Oryctolagus cuniculus: one gene and its partners. The protein of the gene in region 1 purifies or fractionates together with the protein of each later gene. This does not show direct contact. Links are inferred from orthologs where the notes say so. Each region holds a gene or a part of one and is shown on either strand. Other genes may lie near its edges.

Region 1 (5,110 bases):
TTCGATTTGCTTTCTGATAGTCCCTAATAAAATTTCGATTTTTCTCTGGGAAAAAAAAAAGCTCCCATGTGGGGCTGGTGTCATGGTATGGTTGGTGAAACCACAGCCTGTGACAACCACAGATCTAGCTTCCTGCTGATGTGACTGGGAATGTGGCAGAGGATGGCTGAGTGTTAGGCCCCTATCATCCCATGAAAGACCAGGATGGAGATCCTGGCTCTTGGCTTCTGTCTGGCCCAGACCTGGCTGTTGCAGCCATTTGGGGAGTGAACCAGCAGATGGAAGATCTCTGTCACTCTGGCTTTCAAATAAATGAATGAATAAATATTTAAATAAGGTTCCCACTGTTTTAATACATATTAAAGGAGAGATAAAATCAATAATTTGATAAGCAATCTAGGTAAAAGTAGTTAATTTTTGAGATTTAAATAGTTAAGTCTAGATGGGAACATTTTACCATGGAAAATGATATGTACTGGTGACATTAACAGAGTTCACTACTTTATAGTCACATTGAAGAGGCATAACATCTACTTCTGGACTCTTTCCAACATTTATTTGTAAGGTAATTTGGCTTTTACGGGGGCACATGATTGCTTTTTTTCTCTTTTGGCTTCCTGTCATATATTTTCCAGCACTTAATTGGTTCAGAATATATGAGGAATTAGATGTTGATTTAGCAAAGATGGGAAAATCATGGGCTAACTTACAAAATTAATTCATAAAACATTTTTTTAGGCTTTTTACCCAACAGTCCATAGTTGACCTTTTAAAAATTCCCAGCCTGATCTCCCAATGTGGGATCCCAGTGAAAAAGGGTATTTTGCCCTACAGATGCATCATATGGAAAACAACTTTGGAATACTTTTAACTTCGTCGCCAGATAAGGCACAGGAGAGATTGTACCCTAAGCAGTTTATCTCTGACGCCTTTGAGGCAGGTTAACACCCCCCCCCCCCATCACTTTCTAACCACCCCAAGACGCTGCCATCGCTTTAATACTCTGCAGAGACGTAGCGTGAGGCACGTGAACCGCACGCAGCCTGAATAAACACATTTTAACGCTGGCACGTGCTTGGAACGACAATCACCAGGAAGGGTCCGAGAGGGGCGCTTTCCACGACAAAGGGGCCCTAACCGTCCGGCCTCTCGGCCCCAGGTTTCTACGGGTAGGCACCGCAGGCTCTGCCGGCTTCAGTCCAGCCGAGTGCGGGCGGGAAAGCGGCCGCCTCAGACCGAAGTAAAAGTGACGGCTCTCCCGGGGGGCGGGCGTGCGGGGCACCCGAGACCGAGGCCGCGCGGCAGGTCCGCCCGTAAACTCGGCGCCGCAACCCCGCTCCGCTCCGCGCGCCGCGCGCGGGGAAATCGGCGCGGCAGTTAAAACCGTTACCGCCCCCGAGTTTTGAATTGGTTCAAACTTGGCTCTCGCCGCCCGCCCCTCCCCCGCCGGGAACTCCACGGCGCCGGTTCCCGCCAAGAGCCGCGAGCGCGTAGCCCCGCCCTCCAGCCGGTTCCCGCCACCCCACCCTTCCCGCCTTCTGCCGGCGGCGGCCTCCGGGCCCCCACAGAGTTGCCCCGTCCCCGCCTTCCGTGCCCACCGCTTTCCCGAGAGGCGCCGAGCGTTCAGCCAAAGAACAAAGAGACGGCGGCGGCGGCGGCGGCGGCAGCGCTTCCACACGGTGAGCCGCGTCCCTCAGGCCGGGCCCCGCCGCTCGCGCGCACGCGCACCCGCGCGCCCGCCGGCCCGCGAGTCCCGAGCGCGCTCTGCGTGGGGCTCGCTCGGCGCCTCCGAGCCCGGCAGGCCCTGTGATTGGACGAGCGCCCGCCTCGCATCCCGCCAATCGGGGCGGCGCTTGATTGGACTGGGGGGGCCAAATAAAAGCGATGGCGATTGGGCTGTCGCGTTTGGCGCTCGGTCCGGTCGCGTCCGACACCCAGTGGGACACAGAAGGCAGTGGAGCCCCGGCGGCGGCGGCGGCGGCGGCGCGCGGGGGCGGTGCGCGGGAGCGGTGCGGGTTGGCGCGCGGGACGAAGGTAACGCGCGCTGTCGGCAGCTCGGCCGGCGGGGTTCCGGGAGTGCGACCCAGGGCGGCGGCGACGCGGGGACCTGCCCGCCGCTTCCTTGCCGGTCCCCGGTATCGTCCGAGCGGGGCTTCCCCGGTCGCCGCTCGCGCGGGCGCGGGGGAGGGGAGAGGGGAGACCCCTCTGGGGGGACCGTGTGAGGGGCGGGCCGGCCCGCGCGACCCCGCGAGCGGGGCAGCGCGGACCCTCCCCGGAGATGCGAGGAGGGAGCCGAGGCGTGCGCGGGGCGGGGGGTTCCCGGCGCCGGGGCTGCCCGCGCCGGGGCGCCGGGGCCGGGGGCGTTCCGGTGCCCGGTCCGGGTGGTCGCCCCGAGCTTCAGGTCTCCTTTGTGTGGCGGGGCCGCGGGAGCGCCCGGGTGGGACGGGACACACACAAGTTGGTGGGAGCGAGCCGCGAGTCCGCACTCAGACAAAGGACGGACTGTGTCTCCGGAGAGCTCGGCGTGAGGGCAGGGCAGGACGCGGGGGTCCCCGGCCGCGGGCGCGTGGGGGCGCGGGGCGCCGCGGGCGCGGGTGGGCAGGGCTCGGTCCCGCCCCGCGCCGGCTCCGGGCAGCGGCCGCGACGTGGGAACTCCGGAGGAGCTGGGCGTCTGACGTCTCCCGGAGACCCCGCGTCCGCCGCAGACCCGGGCTGGGGGCGCCTCCCCGCCGGGCTGCGCGTGAAGTTTGAGGGCAGCGCGGAGCTGGCGTCCGCCCCGCGGGTTTTGTTCGCCCCGAGGCCGTTCTGTGGAGTTCCCGCTTCATTGTGCGACCCCCTCCACTCAGCAGCACGGCTCTGCCGCGGGGTGACTTTTTGGAAATAGGAGGACGCACGAAGCGCGAGATTTCGGAAAACTTGGTGAACGCATAGTGAGTTCCCAGTTTTTAAAGAATCATACTCTTTTTTTTTTTTCCTAAGAAATTACAAGCTGTTTTGACTAACTTGTGTGGTACATCTGGGACTGGCGACAGGTGCTAACGAAGTCAACTGTCATTTAGTCGGCGATTATTTCCCAATCCCGAGGGGTTGAATGAAGATTTGATGGTAGAAATAGGTGATCCAGATAAAATGCCCATTCCGAATATGTGTTTAGGCTCTAGGGTTAGCAGTTTCTTACTAGTTGGTCTTGCTTTCCCTGAACAATAGCTTTGGTGAGTCTGAAAAGACTGGATGCAGAAGTGTTCGTTGCTTGAAAAATTGAATGTATGCTGCCCACAGTTAACCTAAAATTCCTTTGTTTTTCACCCAGGATCTGTGAAATTTAGATTCATTTGGAAATAAGAATCTTTATTTAAAGTGTTTTACTATGAGGTTTACTTTCTAGGTTTCAAGAAGTTAGGTTTAATTTTATGATGTTTTAATGTCACATAACATAGCACTTAAACCTTTAAAAATGACTAATTCTGGAATAGTGGAGTGTTGTCAATACGTGGGTTTTGGAGTTTATTTTCTATTACTCTTTGTTATTGAGCACTTAGAAGAATGCAGAACAAGTATATAGTCTTAACTGGTTTATTTAATTTTATTTGCAAGAAAATAAAAAATATTTAGGGCATATTTTAATTTCCTGTACATAATCCCCTTAAAATTAGGCATACAGGATTCTAGTCTGTTCTACTCTAGATATAAAGAATTCTATTCTCCATTTTTGGAGGTGTGTTGGGGAATGTAATGTTTAGAGAAAATTGCTCTTTTAAATTCTGACTTTTGTAGAAAGTGAATATGTTCCAAGAAAGGAAGTTAGAAAAACATAGGCTATCTTCTGATCACATAGTGTTCTATCTGAAGGTCAAATAAGCATCTACTAACTTGTGGTTTTAGAGACATGGAGACAAATACAGTCTAAAATTTTGTGTTACATCTATTTTGCAGCGTTTTGGACATCACTGAGCAACACATTCCAGGTGCTACTCTAAGGGTTGACATTATGAAATCACATTTACGTCCATGTTATTTGCTGACAATTATGTATTTAAAAATAGTAGTAACCTTGGGTATTTTGTTATGAGCTAGTTGTGCAGATTTTTGGCAGAAATTTTGGTATTTTAGGATAAGAAATTCTAATTTTGCCCTTGTGTATTCTGTATTTGATAATCACTATCTGTACTTGCCATAGATATTTTTTAAAAAAGTCTGAGAAATTGGTTTAAACTTTGTTTTAAATTATTTTTGAAAGCTTTATGAATCTTTTAATTTAGAATTACTTAGTTTAAGTAGCAATATAAAAAGCACTTGTTGATTTAGTGTAGTTAGATAAAACAAAAATACTTTAATATTGGCTTTGCTTGCACGTGTACATATAAATGATGGTCTGTTTTGGCCATTTAAAAATTTTAAGGCAGATTTCTCTAGGTCACACTGGAGTTTTTCCAGGATATCTTTTATCCTTTGAAGTGGCATTCTCAAGGGATGTAAATTTAATTTATTATTAACCTTTAAATGAGCCATGAGTAAGAAAGTTGGCCTGCTTCTTTTAAAAAACTGACAACTCGGTTGATCATACAATGAATTTGGGGGTCACTGAGAAATGATATATGAGTTATCCTTGAAGTCTTTATGCGTGTATTGTTGATGAATACATTTTTTGTAAATGATGACGAATTCTCTATGGATTGGTGAAACCATTAGTTTGAATGAGAGCATAAGTGGAGACAAGCAATTTGTTAAATTCAGAGAATGGTTCCTGATCAGATGATGAACTTTACCTTCCAGAGGCCCTCCCGCAATTTCCAGGCACTCTTGTGTTCTCAGAAGTCTTTGTTCATACTGTTATTACAGTATGTATCAAATTGTATTGTAATCACTTGTTTATGCATTGGGCTCCTTCACTGCATTCTAACTGCCTGGAGGCAGAGGCTCTCTTATTTTTCTTAATATATACCTAGCACTTACGTTGGCAGTTGCTAGAAAACACGGACTTTAATAATTGAACGAATTAAGAGAATATGGAAAATATAGGGAAATCATTTGACAGAGGAACTTGCAAAGCAATCAGGATATATTTGTGTTATAGAGAACTTTGGAAAATATTTTTCCTCCATTTCTGAGA
Region 2 (4,364 bases), on another chromosome or scaffold:
CCAGTGTTTGTTTATCTGAAAGGCAGAGAGACAGAGACAGACAGACAGAGCCCTCATCATTCCCAAATGTCTGCAACAGTCAGGGTTGGACCTGTCTGAAGCCAGGAGCCCATCACTCAATCCACATCTCCCCCGTTGGGGGAGATCTTGATGTGTTGAGCTGTCACCTGCTGCCTCCCAGGGACTGGATTAGCAGGAAGCTGCATGTGAAGCGGAGGAGCCAGCACTCAAACCAGGTGCTGTGATACTGTGCCTGGGTGCCCAAGCTTCCCTACCCAGTGCCTCAGACACTACCGCTCCCCTTATTTGTTTGAAAGAGTAGAATCTCTCTCTTTTTTTTTTTTTTAAACTTCTTTTCCATTTCTTGGTCTTTTTTAGTAAAAACCAAGAAACAATGCACAGGTGGTGATCTTTTCCCTCCATAAATGATAGAGTATTACAGTGAAGAATGAGGGGCTGCCGTTGTGGTGCAGCAGGATAAGCGGCCCCTTGCAATACCGCCATCCCACAGCAGAGTGCCAGCTGAGTCCTGGCTGCACTGTTTCTGATTCAGCTCCTTTTAATGTGCTGGGAGGCAGCAGAAGATGATCCAAGTACTTGTGTCCTGACCACTGGTGTGGGAGACCCATATGGAGATCTTGGCTCCTGGTTTCAGCCTGGTCTGGTTGTGGGCACTGGTGAGTGAACCAGCAGATGGCTAATCTCTTCTCTCTCCCTCTGTCTCTCCCTTTGCCTCTCAAATAAATAAATATTTAAAATATTTATTGAAAAATAAAGTTTGCTTTCTCCTCTGGTCTCCGTTAAACCATTGAACTTGGGGTTCTTTGAATTGGCAGAAAGAGGTATTTGGTTATCTCTGACATCTTTTCTCATCCTTTGGACCCAGAAACATTCTTGTGTTTTTCTCATTTATAACTGTTGTCTTTGCTCTTGAAGGTGATGCTACTAACCTCAGTTTATGTGTGCCTGTGGCTGAAAAGCCTGATGTAGCTCTCTAGACCAGCGGCACTCAATCAGAATCGCCCTGCGTGCCTTTCCGCAGCAGTGCGTGCACCTGGGCATGCTTGACTGGGACAGCGAGTGCCCACTTGGTCATCTCTGCTCGTGACTGCACGAGAGTACAAGTTATTGTCGGGGTAGTGACCACAGCTGCCGTGTACTTTGAAAATAGTTTTCAGTTTTATTGTTTGAATAAGTAGTAATTCATATGGTTTAAATCTCAACAGATACAAGGTGGTCACATGGCTCAGTTTCAGAAGACACAAAAGTATCTCACTCTGTGCTCTGCCTGCCTACTTTCCTTCTCTGGGGGGAGGGGAAGCTGATGTTCAGCTTCTTACCTGTCTCGCCAAAAATATTTTATGTGCCTACAAATTATACATGCACATGTTCATACCATATGTACACATATGCACACATCTGTATGCACACAAACACCTTGTTTACTTTTAAGCACAAAAGTAATTCATGGTATGTAATGTTTTCACCTTGCTTTTGTATACTTAGTGGATCTTGGAGATAAACAGGAATCAGAACATAAAGACCCGCCTCCCCCTTATTTCTCGCTGAATATTATGTCCTTGTTTGGAAGGACAGTGTTACTTCCCTGAAATGCTCGGGACCAGAAGTGTTCCAGATGCTGGAGCTCTCAGATCTTGGAATATTTGTGTGGACTTCGCAGCTGAGCCTGCCTGATTGGAAAGTCAGAAGTCTGAAATGCTCTGAGATCTGAATCTTCTCGAGAATCAAGTTTTGGATTTTGGATAAATTTGTATTTTGGGTTTCAGTTAGTTGCATAATGATGGACCACCTGGTTTGTTTTTAATATTATGCTATTAGCACTAGCTTAATTCTAGTATAAAAGATTAGGAGTTAATCAGCGATCATGAAATGTCTGAAAATTACAACTTCTATAAGACTTTCCGAGAAGCATGAGAGGATATATATAATCTTGTTGTTTTGTTTTTGCAGATAGTTGGTAAACTTCTGTGAAGTTTATGAAGAGCGCAGGGCTTGTGGCCCTTTAGTTTTCTCTCTGAAGCTCTTTTGCAGTATTACAGAAGCCTCCCCGCTCTGCCTTGCTAACCTTTCTTTCCTTCCTCTTGTGCCTCCCAACTCTATGCGTCTCAGTGGAAAGGGCTGGAAGAAAGCACACTGTCCCTTCCTCCCTCTCTTGAGATCACAGCTGTGACACGTGTGCTTCTTCAGTGTGTTGACTCCTACTCCACGTAATTATGAGGCGCCGTGTGCTGTCCATTTAATCTGTTCTAAGTTCTTAGGTCCCAGCAGGCATGCCAAGTACTCGAGAGGCCAGTTGTGAAAAGGAGCTAGCAGAATGGGAACCGTGAGGGCCAGGGGTAGCTGGTGGTGCTGAATTCAGCACCCCTGAGTCCTGGCCCACCCTCTGTCCCAGGAGGAAGAGGAGGTAGAACGGGAAATCATAAAACAGGAAGAAAGTGTGGATCCTGACTACTGGGAGAAATTGCTGCGGCACCATTATGAGCAGCAGCAAGAAGATCTAGCCCGAAATCTGGGCAAAGGAAAAAGAATCCGTAAACAGGTCAACTACAATGATGGCTCCCAGGAGGACCGAGGTGTGTGTGGCCGGCCCCGCCCCCCACCCATGGGCCGTTCCACTAGAGCAGTGGGCCCCGCTCATCTGCCCTCTCTCCCTCCAGATTGGCAGGACGACCAGTCCGACAACCAGTCCGATTACTCGGTGGCCTCAGAGGAAGGTGATGAAGACTTTGATGAACGCTCAGAAGGTGAGGGCTGTGCTTTGCTAGTTGGCTCAGTAGTGCTTTATGTGCTGTCCCACCAGTGTCACTCACACACCCCTTTGTTCTTGCAGCTCCCCGCAGGCCCAGTCGCAAGGGCCTGCGGAACGATAAAGATAAGCCATTGCCTCCTCTGTTGGCCCGAGTTGGGGGGAATATTGAAGTAAGTGCTGTACAATTCTATTGGGGTGCCAAGTGCTGGTATTGTGTCTTCCATGAAGTGAGACCTGCTCCCATTCACCTGGATTTCCTTTCCCCCCAGGTACTTGGTTTTAATGCTCGTCAGCGAAAAGCCTTTCTTAATGCAATTATGCGCTATGGGATGCCACCTCAGGATGCTTTTACCACCCAGTGGCTCGTGAGAGATCTGCGAGGCAAGTCAGAGAAAGAGTTCAAGTGAGTTGAAGGCCAGGACAACCAGTCTAGAGCAAGGACTTCTACTGTTGGGTCTTTGCATGGTACTGGTCTGGGCTGTCCAGGGAAACAGGCTCTTTGCTTTGCTGACGTTGGCAGGTGAAGCTGTTTGTAATGGGAGTTCCTGGTTTTTGTAGCTTTCCTGGAAGAGAACCTGGGGGGCTATACAGAGCCTGCAGACCAGCCCCCCTCCCCGTGTTGGTGGGCTTTACTTCAAGGGGGAGCCGGGTCATTGCCTGTCAAGGCCTAACTGGTTGGCAAAGGTCTGATCTAGGAGTTGCTGCACTCCCTGTTTAACTCGTTTCTCTGCATTGCTACAGGGCCTATGTCTCTCTATTTATGCGGCATTTGTGCGAGCCGGGAGCAGATGGGGCTGAGACCTTTGCCGATGGTGTGCCCCGAGAAGGCCTGTCCCGTCAGCATGTCCTCACTAGAATCGGTGTGATGTCCTTGATTCGCAAGAAGGTGAGCGTCGAACTTCTCTCCATTAGTAAAGGTTTCAAGGGAAACTGGGGGCCAGCAGGAGAGGAGCCTAGGGCTGGACTTGGGTCTTCAGTGTCTTGTCCTGTGGTCACAGGTTCAGGAATTTGAACATGTTAATGGGCGCTGGAGCATGCCCGAACTGGCTGAAGTAGAGGAAAACAAGAAAATGTCCCAGCCTGGGTCGCCCTCCCCAAAGACTCCTACACCCTCTACTCCTGGGGACACACAACCCAATACTCCTGCACCTGCCCCACCTGCTGGTAAGTCTGCCTGTCGTGTCGCTTTGTCCCTGTCTCTGTCCTGGCCTGTGCCTCTCCTCGCCTGTGCCCAGTTCTCACAGGGGAGTCCGGCGGGACACACAGTACTCTCCCTCTCAGTTTAGGAGGCCGTCCTAAGAATGGGGCTGGTTCTTAAAGGCACGAGAGGACAATTTAAGATGAGACAGATGGGGGAAGGCGTGGCCACCTCTCTGATCTATGACTTCCTTCCTAATTGATTGTCTCCTGTTGGTCTGCAGAGGATGGGATAAAGATAGAGGAAAATAGCGTCAAAGAAGAAGAGAGCACAGAAGGTGAAAAGGAGGTTAAACCTGCAGCCCCCGAGGCCCCCATGGAGGTGAGAGGCGGGGTGGCCGGTGCCATGCTACAGGTGGATAGACGCTAGCCTGTCTGCTTCATCTTCTGTCTCTGT
Region 3 (4,364 bases), on another chromosome or scaffold:
TAATCTATAATTTAAGTAACAATCCAAGCTATGTATTCATTTAATTTGTCTATTATATATTATATGTGTGCATAAATATGTGTACATACATGTATGTGTGTATAAGTATGTATATATAAATATATATATACACACACAGGGTACTTCAAAAACTTTGTGAAAAATAGAACTAAAAGATCTTTCAAGATTTTTTTCACCCCAAATCCTAAAACCTTTTAACCCAATCCATTGTCTTAACCATAATAAAATACTATATTTTCATTTTCAGAATTTGAAGCCTTACTAATAATTTCAAATAACAGTACATATAAATAATGTCGTATTCCCCCTTATGGCAAATATCACATGAAAATCCTCATTCAAAGTCGTTAAGATGCCACTGGGAGTGCCCACAGCCCCTATCAAAGTGTCTAGGTTTGGGTTCCAGCTTCCTGCTCATCAGTGGTCTGAAAGAAGCAGATAATGGCTCAATTAATTGGGCCCCTGCCACCCACCTGGCAGATTCAGACTGGGTTTCCAGCTCCTGGTTTCCACTGGCCCAGCCCCAACTATTGTGGGCATCTGGGGAGTGAATCAATGAATGGGATATCTGTCTCTTCTCAAAATAAATAAATTACTCACCCAACAACAAAAACCCAACATGGAACAGTGTGCTAGGGGCCTACCTTTTGAGAAGTTTCTTTTCTTTTTTTTAATTTTTTTTTATTTATTTTTTTTGACAGGCAGAGTGGATAGCGAGAGAGAGAGACAGAGAGAAAGGTCTTCCTTTTTGCCGTTGGTTCACCCTCCAATGGCCGCCACAGCTGACGCGCTGCGGCCGGCGCACCGCGCTGATCCGAAGGCAGGAGCCAGGTGCTTCTCCTGGTCTCCCAGGGGTGCAGGGCCCAAGCACTTGGGCCATCCTCCACTGCCTTCCTGGGCCACAGCAGAGAGCTGGCCTGGAAGAGGGGCAACCGGGACAGAATCCGGTGCCCAGACCAGGACTAGAACCTGGTGTGCCAGCGCTGCTAGGTGGAGGATTAGCCTATTGAGCCGCGGCGCCAGCCTAGAAGTTTCTTGAATTAAAGAAAAAACTCATTCCAGCAACCAATTGTTAGAATTTCCTGTGAACCAATTTCCTAAGAGTTTACTTCATGTTTAAAGGAAGTGAAACAAAAAGCTTATATAAAAATTTCAAAATTCATTTATAAAGGGGGGAAAAACGGCACAGGGCCAGTCACATCTTTTGAACTATAAATGGTAAAAACAAACAAACAAAAAAAATCACCATTCTGAAAAGAAATTTGTCATTGCATCAAAGTCCTACCCTTTGACAAAGTAATTCTACTAGGACTCTGTTGTAAGGAAATCAGAAAAATAAATTTATCATGATATTCATTGGGGAAACTGGAAATAGTGTATAAGTCAACGGCAATAGTTAAATAAGTTATGGTATAAACTTATGATAAACAATGTTTTAAAAATATTCAAATATTTTTAGTGACTATGGAGTAGTCATTAAAGTATGGACTTTACAATATCAAATGAAAAAAGCAGGAAAATGTAAATGATTATGGAAAAAATATTTATTTACATGCAGGAGGAAAACCTGAAAAGAAATATACCAAAATATTTAGTTCTGTTTATGGATTATGTGATTTTTGGGATTAGGTAATGAGTTTTTTTTTATATAAATTTCCTGTATTATGGGAATATAGGTTTTCTACAACTATATATTTCACTACAGTATATTTTAATACTTTTGCATAGAAAAGAAAACAAAGTTGATAGGAAAATTAAATTGCATGGTATACAACAAGTATAACCTTATTTGTTAACTGGCACATTGCAGAATCTACAGTTTTGAAATATTTACCAAAATAAAATTCATAGATATTACTTAAGAATTACATCCAAATATTCTAAAGAAGTATTCTATAAAATAAAAGGTGACATTGTTGCAATGCAGGTTGAATTCAGGAAAGGTGGAAGGTATGCAAGGAGAAGAAAATGGCCTAAAAATCTGTCTCAGTTTTGAGAAATGTTTTTAAGTTTCGTGCTATGGAAAAGTAGAGAGCCTTACGTCCAGTAATTATTCACCAACAACTCTACTCATTATAGAGAATCATTAATCATATGGAAGATTCTAGTTTTGTAATCTCCCTTTCCACAACAAATCAAACTTTAACCTAGTAATTGAAATTAGGATTGTTCTAGATTTAAACAGTTTGGTCACCTTAAAATTTCCCCATCTACTTGTTAAAACTATCAGACCTTGATCCTTGGCCCTTTTATCAAGTGCTCTAGGTCTACTCCTTGGACCTTGAAATTGCTCAAGTGTGCACCATATCCATTCTTAATACAGCAGCATGGTTAAACCTTTTACTGCTAGGACCAAATACCTCTTCTTAACACCTTGGAGAATCAATGTTATACAGGTTGAGTATCCCTAGTTAAAAAATCCAAAATTTGAAATGCCCCAAAACTAAACCTTTTGGAATGTCATGCTGACATACAACAACTTTCAGATTTTTAAGCATTTTATCTCATCTACTTAAAAGGCAGAGTGACAGAGAGACAGACCTTACATGTGGTGGTTCACTCCCCAGATGCCTACAACAGCCAGGGTGGGGCCAGGTCAAAGCCAGAGAACCAAGAACTCCATCAGGGTCTCCACATGGATGACAGTGTCCCAAACACTGCAGCCACCATCTGCTGCCTCCTTTGGCTGCATTAGCAGGAAGCTGGATAAGAAGTAGAATACAGGTGTCCCAAGCAGTTTAACTTGCTATGCCATAGTGCCTGAGATTTTAGATACTGAATCCCATATGGGCACTGGTTCATGTCAAGCTCTCTATTTATGGCCTGGGAAAGCAGCAGAAGATGGTCCAAGTGCTTGGGCCCCTGCACCCACATAGGAGACCCGGAAGAAACTCCTGGTTCCTGGCTTCAGATTGGTTCAGCTCCGGCCATTGTAGCCATCTGGGAAATGAATCAGCAGATGGAAGACCTTTCTTTCTCTCTCTCCCTCTGTAACTATCTCTCAAATTAAAAAAATAAATAAATAAAAAAGTGCTTCTTGATTCCTCGCTTCCCCCCACAAACTTTTGATAGTAGGGACATGAAACTTTTTCCAGGGATTCATGAAGGAAAAGAATTGTAAATGAGTGAGTTGACTTCTTTATGCACTTTTATAAAACCATTAATTTTGATCTAAAAACTGTACTACCTTCAGCATACTAGATGCACATAGACTATGTCGTGTTTTATGCTTAACTTTATATAAATTCCCTAAGATGAAAATAGGATTTTAACAAATCCATACCTGACTAAGAAGTTGTCCATGAAATATGTTATTCACAACATTCAGAACTTGCTTGATAAGTTTTCTTTGGGATGTGGGGATAAGAGCTGGTAAGCTGGTGCCAGTTGTCTCCAGTTCATGTTGTATTTTATCTAAAAGTTCACAAAGAAATTCCTGAGCATCCTGTTGGGCATAACCACGAAAAGCAGGAATGAGTCTCCACACTGAGTGTAACATAGCGAACGGTGAGACCAAGGCCCACTTTCCAGACCACATGACTTGGAACAAAGTATGTAATTCATGACAAAGAGAAATGTATTGTGAACTTGGCTCCCTAGCTTGAATAAGTTCCATCTTTCGACTTTTTGATGCTCCGCCACTTAATCCTGATGATAAACTTGGATGTCTGGAGCGAACATAGCCTATATCCTTTTCCTGGCATTCATTCATTTGATGTGCTACTGTATCTGTTACGGCGGGATGCTTATAAGATCTGGTCTTATCGCTGGTAGTCACAGCCAGCCATTGGTTCAGATCAAGCTTTAAAAAACATTGTCGAAAAATAAGTAAGTGACTCAACACTTGAAGAACAGAATTCATATAGCAAGTGTTCCCCAAATTTCTCAATCCTGTTACACCAGGAGTTACTTCTGGCCTTCTGTTAACTGAGGAGTCTCTGACTTTTTTAAATGTTCCATCTTCCGAGGTAGGTAGCACTTTATGTTTTGCTGGTGATGATGGATTCTGTGGTGGTCCTTGAACAGGAACTATTTCTACCGTGGTGGACTGAGCGACACCTTGCAAACGTAAACTCTTTCTCGGAGGCACACTTTCCAATTCTACTTTAACCTGATGCTCTAATTCTTGCCGTCTTTTCTTCACTTCTCTTTTTGGCACTATTTTTTCCTGCAATTGTTCTTCTTGCTTTCTTCTTCTAGTGGGTGATTGCTCAAACCAAATTCGAAAGATTTTGCCCATCAGCCTCCTCCTCCTGTGGCAAAGAGCAGTGTACATTAGATCATTCTGAAGCGGAGACGGAGCACCATCGCGTGAGAACAGAGAGTCATCACTTGGACCCGTG
Region 4 (4,364 bases), on another chromosome or scaffold:
CTCTAAACGCTGGTCTGAGCCAATGCTAAGGAGACCCAAATTCCAGCTTGGATCTTTTATACAGGCCATACACCTCTAAAAGAAAACATTAATCTCCAGTCAAATTACTCTTTGGCTGCAGCAGAGTGGAAAAAAATACAGGCTTTTGGATCAGAAAGATCTAAGTTTGAAATCTGTTTTTTCCAGGAACTAGCTAGCTGTATGAAATGATCAATATTCCTAAAAGTTTACAAGGGTTGCTCTGAGGTCGAATGGAATATGTTAAACGCCTGGCACATGGAAATTGCTCCATCAGAATTGTTCCTTTACTTTCTCATGGGGAGCGATATCATACAATGAGAATCAAGTCAGGCTTTGGAATCGGAAGTATCCCACTGGGCAGGATGAGACTGAGTTCATTTACTATTTACTACATGGCCTGCTCTGAGGATGACACGAAACAAATTATTAATGGTCTGCCAAAAAGTGAGGGCACAGTAAGCAGTCACCACCAGTAACAATGCCCCATCAGCTCCCTGATCAACAAGATGGTAGGTACTAAAGACTATCAAAACAAAGAGTAGGATGGTGCAGCACAAACTCTTCCCAGCTACTGGGAAAACTCAAGGTGCACGTGCTGGTCTGCAGAATCAAATGTGCAAGCACCTTTCAGAAACGGACAAAAGCATGGGGTGTGGGAGGAAGTGGGCAGCAGCTGGGCACAGTGGTTATGCTCCATCTGGGATGCCCACACCCACAGCCCACAGTGAAGTGCCTGGTTTGAGTCCCAACTCTGCTTCCCATCCAGCTTCCTGCGACTGCACCCTGGGAGGCAGCAGGGATGGCTTAAGTACTTGGGTTCCTGCTACCCACAGGGGAGGCTCGGATGGAGGCTCCAGGTCTCCCAGCTTCAGCCTGGCCCAGCCCCGGCTATTGTGGAATCTGGGGAATGAATCAGCAGATAGATGACGTCTATCTGTCTTTGTCCCTCTGCTTTTCAAGTAAAATGAAAGCAAAGATGATCATTTAAAACAAGCAGCTCCTAAAAAACAAACAAACAAACAAAGGGCCGGCGCTGCGGCTCACTAGGCTAATCCTCTGCCCGAGGTGCCGGTTCTGTCCCGGTTGCTCCTCTTCCAGTCCAGCTCTCTGCTGTGGCCCGGGAGTGCAGTGGAGGATGGCCCAAGTCCTTGGGCCCTGCACCCCATGGGAGACCAGGGGGAGGCACCTGACTCCTGGCTTCGGATAGGCGCAGCGCGCCAGCCGCAATGCACTGGCTGTGTGGCTACTTGGGGGGATGAACCAACGGAAGGAACACCTTTCTCTCTGTCTCTCTCCTGGCATCAACAAAGACCTCTTCTGCTCAAGAGGAGAAGCGAGAGAGGGAAAAGCAGGGAAATTGCTCTGCTCAGTTCTGCTCAGGTCTAGAAAATATGGCATCCTCACCAACATCAAGTTTTTCTTTAACCAATACCAGTAATTGTCTCTTACATAGAATACACAAATTGTTACTGCTCTCAATGTCCTGAGCCAGTGTCCAGTGGCAAGAGAAACAGCAGCATACCAGCAAGAAGATGGCTGAGAGAGGCAGGCCACATGGGCTGGCATCTGCTTCATCCCCGTACCATTTAGTATTAACCTGTGTGAAGAGGACCTTGGGCCCTTGCAATCTGTACTCACCTGGCTGAGATTGAAGGTCATGATGCTGTTGTCGTCATACAGAAGGATGTTAATGGTGTCTAATGCCCACGTGCTCTCTGCCAGGAGCCCAGACTTGAGGGACATCATTACCCGCCATGCCTCCGGGGTTCCTGAAATAAACCTCTGTGTCGTCCATCCACCAAGCCCAGGTTGGCTGGAGGCAACCCCAGGGCTGCCCCATCAGTCAGGCTACTCTGGAGACATACGAGGTGGAAGGTGGTTCACCCAGAGATGACACACACCTGCCTCTCACAGCGTCTAAGCTCCCTGGGGCATCGCTGCATGGCAAGGCCTTGAACCTGGCATCAGCTTAGTTCTTCCTTACCCCAAGTTCTGTGGTTTTTAGTCAACACTGGACCAGATACAACCTTATCCAGAATATGAGGCTTGCAGAAACAACGGACAAGGTGGGAAGGGGCAGATTAAGCAACCCAGGCAGGGAGTTCTCCTTACCAATGTCTTTCATTGTGAGCCGCCTTCGCTGCTTCAACACAGGCTGTGTGGCTTCAACAGAGCCAGGTGGGAACGTGATGTCCCGCCGAATCAGGGGGGGCTGCACAGGGGCAGGTGCTATGTGCGAGGCAGGCACTGGTGGACCTGCCTTCTGCATTTTCATCCCAGAGTGCAGGAACGGAGACTTGCTGGGAGAGGTGCGGTTCTCCATTGGCCGAGGCAGGGGGGCGGGACTGGATACCTGAGGAATGTGATTCTGCATGCTTGGCGGGGGCTGGTAGTTAGACGGTGGGGGCCTTGTCATGGGAGGCACGGGGGCAGAGGGACCATATGGGGGCTGGCGTGTGCCATGGGAAGGCCACGGGCCTTCGTGGTTGGCCCTCTGATCCGTGTGCAGCATTTCATCTGTTCGGTTCACACCATGATACGTGGGGCCCTGGGGGGCAGAGCCCGTGCTCTGCCTGTTGGCATAATTATAGGTCATGTCATTACGCCCCTGCCACATGGTGCCTTGCTGAGCAACCTCAGCTGATGCCTGTATGGGACCGCCCATCATTTGTGGTGGCATGTTCTGCTGGGCACTGGAGCCAGGGGGTGCAGAGACACGGTCTCGGCCAAATTGGAATGGAAATTGGTTCTGGGGACCGCCTGTTGGTCGGCGCTCAGTAGCAGCGGTGGCAGTGGCAGGATAGGCATTGCCGTACTGGTTGTACACATCTTGCTGAGGGGAAGGCTGGGCAGCTTGCTGCTGGCTGGCAGACTGGGCCTGGGCTGGGGGCAACTGCTGCTGCTGAGGCTGCCCCTGCCCAGTGCTGTACGGCACACTGTACATTTCCCCTTCATGCCGCTTGGCAGGAGGGCCGTATGTGCCATCCATTGGCCGCTTATAATTCTAAAAGAGATAAGCAGAGGGAAAGTTAATACTCTGCCCCCAGAGACACAAAACCCACAGATGCTAGGATGCTACACCTGGACACTCGGCTTATATCTGTCGCTTCAGAAGAGAGCACTCAAGACTCCAAGAGAACAAGGAATCACTTTTACAAAGCATCTTCTTAAGTTGTTTCTCAAAGAAACCACCACTCTTTCTTCCTCGCTAGTCTCCAAGTTAAAAAACGTGCAAAACTTCAAAAATCAAAATCAAGTCCCTTTCTAGCCCTTTTGGAGGACTGGGGGGACCAGACTGAGGACCCGGCTCTTCAGGCAGAACTGGCTAGTTGGGCGAGAGGACACCCAGCTACCCAAACCAGCTCTTAGACTTCCACAGGGTGGCTGTGAAGGGAACCCATTCCCAGCTTCCCTCCTCACCTGCTGCTGCTGCTGATACATTGTGGTCTGCTGGCTGGGGAAGGGGTTGCCGGAAGGGGTGCCTTGGGTGGAGAACTGATTGCCATAGGAATCATGTCTGCAGGAGAGAGACTGAGGATGAGGGCAGGCGAGGGCCGAGCCAGTGCCGCAGCCCCCCTCGCACCAGGCTGCACTCACCGTTGCTGCTGCTGCTGCTGCTGTGGAGGGTAGCGGCTGGGAGAGTACATCCCCGAGTCTGGGGTGGAAGGCATAAGATTCGGCTGGGGGCCCCCCGTGCCCATGCTTCCCTCAGGCCCGAGTCCAGGCTCCGTCCTGGACAAAATTAGAGCAGTGGTTTGAGTTCGAGGGCATCATGGCTGGAGCAGTGGGTGCCAGGGCGGGACAAGAGCAGTGGCCATGCTTACCTCACTCTGTCATAAGGACCTCCATAGGGATAGTGCTGTCGTGGTCCCATCGCCACATTTCCCAGCCCAGGGCCGGCAGTCCGGCTGTAGGGGTCACCCATCCCACCGTTGGGGCCCTGCCCTGAGGACATGAAGGGATCATTCCCTGGAGCTGAATGCAGAAAGGAAGGCAGTGAGCAAAGGGAGAGGCCAGCAGGCTGACCAATCAATCCATACTGGGCTGGCTCCAAAGACCCAGGCCCTCTTCTTGCTCTCATTCTTTCCTGACAGGTTCAAACACAACTCTACAGAGACCCAATCAGCAAAAACCTTGTACTAATTTTTAAGGGGTAACAAGGTGAGCCCAGGGAGGGGGAAACAAGGAAGGAGATAGCGATGAAGAAGGGTGGTTAGGTCAGGAAACGCTGTCTCAGAGCACAGCTCAATGAGAACCTGGAGCCAGCCTCCAGATAAGCCCCCACCACAGGCACACAGGCAACAGCAGCTGGTCACCTTTCCTCATGCTGCCATAAGGATCCT

The links. Proteins that work in one complex are often made in the same cells at the same time.
Region 2: the proteins of EZH2 (region 1) and CHD4 purify together in Homo sapiens (affinity purification with mass spectrometry; 5 studies listed by BioGRID, with this or other methods). This does not show direct contact. The link is inferred for Oryctolagus cuniculus from reciprocal best matches to the Homo sapiens genes EZH2 and CHD4.
Region 3: the proteins of EZH2 (region 1) and USP44 purify together in Homo sapiens (affinity purification with western blotting; 3 studies listed by BioGRID, with this or other methods). This does not show direct contact. The link is inferred for Oryctolagus cuniculus from reciprocal best matches to the Homo sapiens genes EZH2 and USP44.
Region 4: the proteins of EZH2 (region 1) and ARID1A purify together in Homo sapiens (affinity purification with mass spectrometry; 3 studies listed by BioGRID, with this or other methods). This does not show direct contact. The link is inferred for Oryctolagus cuniculus from reciprocal best matches to the Homo sapiens genes EZH2 and ARID1A.

The regions. Positions count from the first base shown.
Region 1 is NC_091434.1:174,688,981-174,694,090, forward strand, and holds the start of EZH2 (histone-lysine N-methyltransferase EZH2), read left to right. Parts: upstream 1-1,867; 5' UTR 1,868-1,884; coding exon 1,885-2,135; intron 2,136-2,600; exon of another isoform or gene 2,601-2,930; intron 2,931-5,110. UniProt on the Homo sapiens protein: Polycomb group (PcG) protein. Catalytic subunit of the PRC2/EED-EZH2 complex, which methylates 'Lys-9' (H3K9me) and 'Lys-27' (H3K27me) of histone H3, leading to transcriptional repression of the affected target gene.
Region 2 is NC_091440.1:102,921,591-102,925,954, forward strand, and holds part of CHD4 (chromodomain-helicase-DNA-binding protein 4), read left to right. Parts: intron 1-2,413; coding exon 2,414-2,765; intron 2,766-2,851; coding exon 2,852-2,940; intron 2,941-3,039; coding exon 3,040-3,173; intron 3,174-3,511; coding exon 3,512-3,656; intron 3,657-3,768; coding exon 3,769-3,934; intron 3,935-3,969; exon of another isoform or gene 3,970-4,105; intron 4,106-4,191; coding exon 4,192-4,289; intron 4,290-4,364. UniProt on the Homo sapiens protein: ATP-dependent chromatin-remodeling factor that binds and distorts nucleosomal DNA. Acts as a component of the histone deacetylase NuRD complex which participates in the remodeling of chromatin.
Region 3 is NC_091442.1:98,429,552-98,433,915, forward strand, and holds part of USP44 (ubiquitin carboxyl-terminal hydrolase 44), read right to left. Parts: coding exon 3,305-4,364; intron 1-3,304.
Region 4 is NC_091438.1:144,722,520-144,726,883, forward strand, and holds part of ARID1A (AT-rich interactive domain-containing protein 1A), read right to left. Parts: coding exon 4,338-4,364; intron 3,997-4,337; coding exon 3,846-3,996; intron 3,754-3,845; coding exon 3,619-3,753; intron 3,539-3,618; coding exon 3,442-3,538; intron 3,026-3,441; coding exon 2,134-3,025; intron 1,791-2,133; coding exon 1,660-1,790; intron 1-1,659. UniProt on the Homo sapiens protein: Involved in transcriptional activation and repression of select genes by chromatin remodeling (alteration of DNA-nucleosome topology).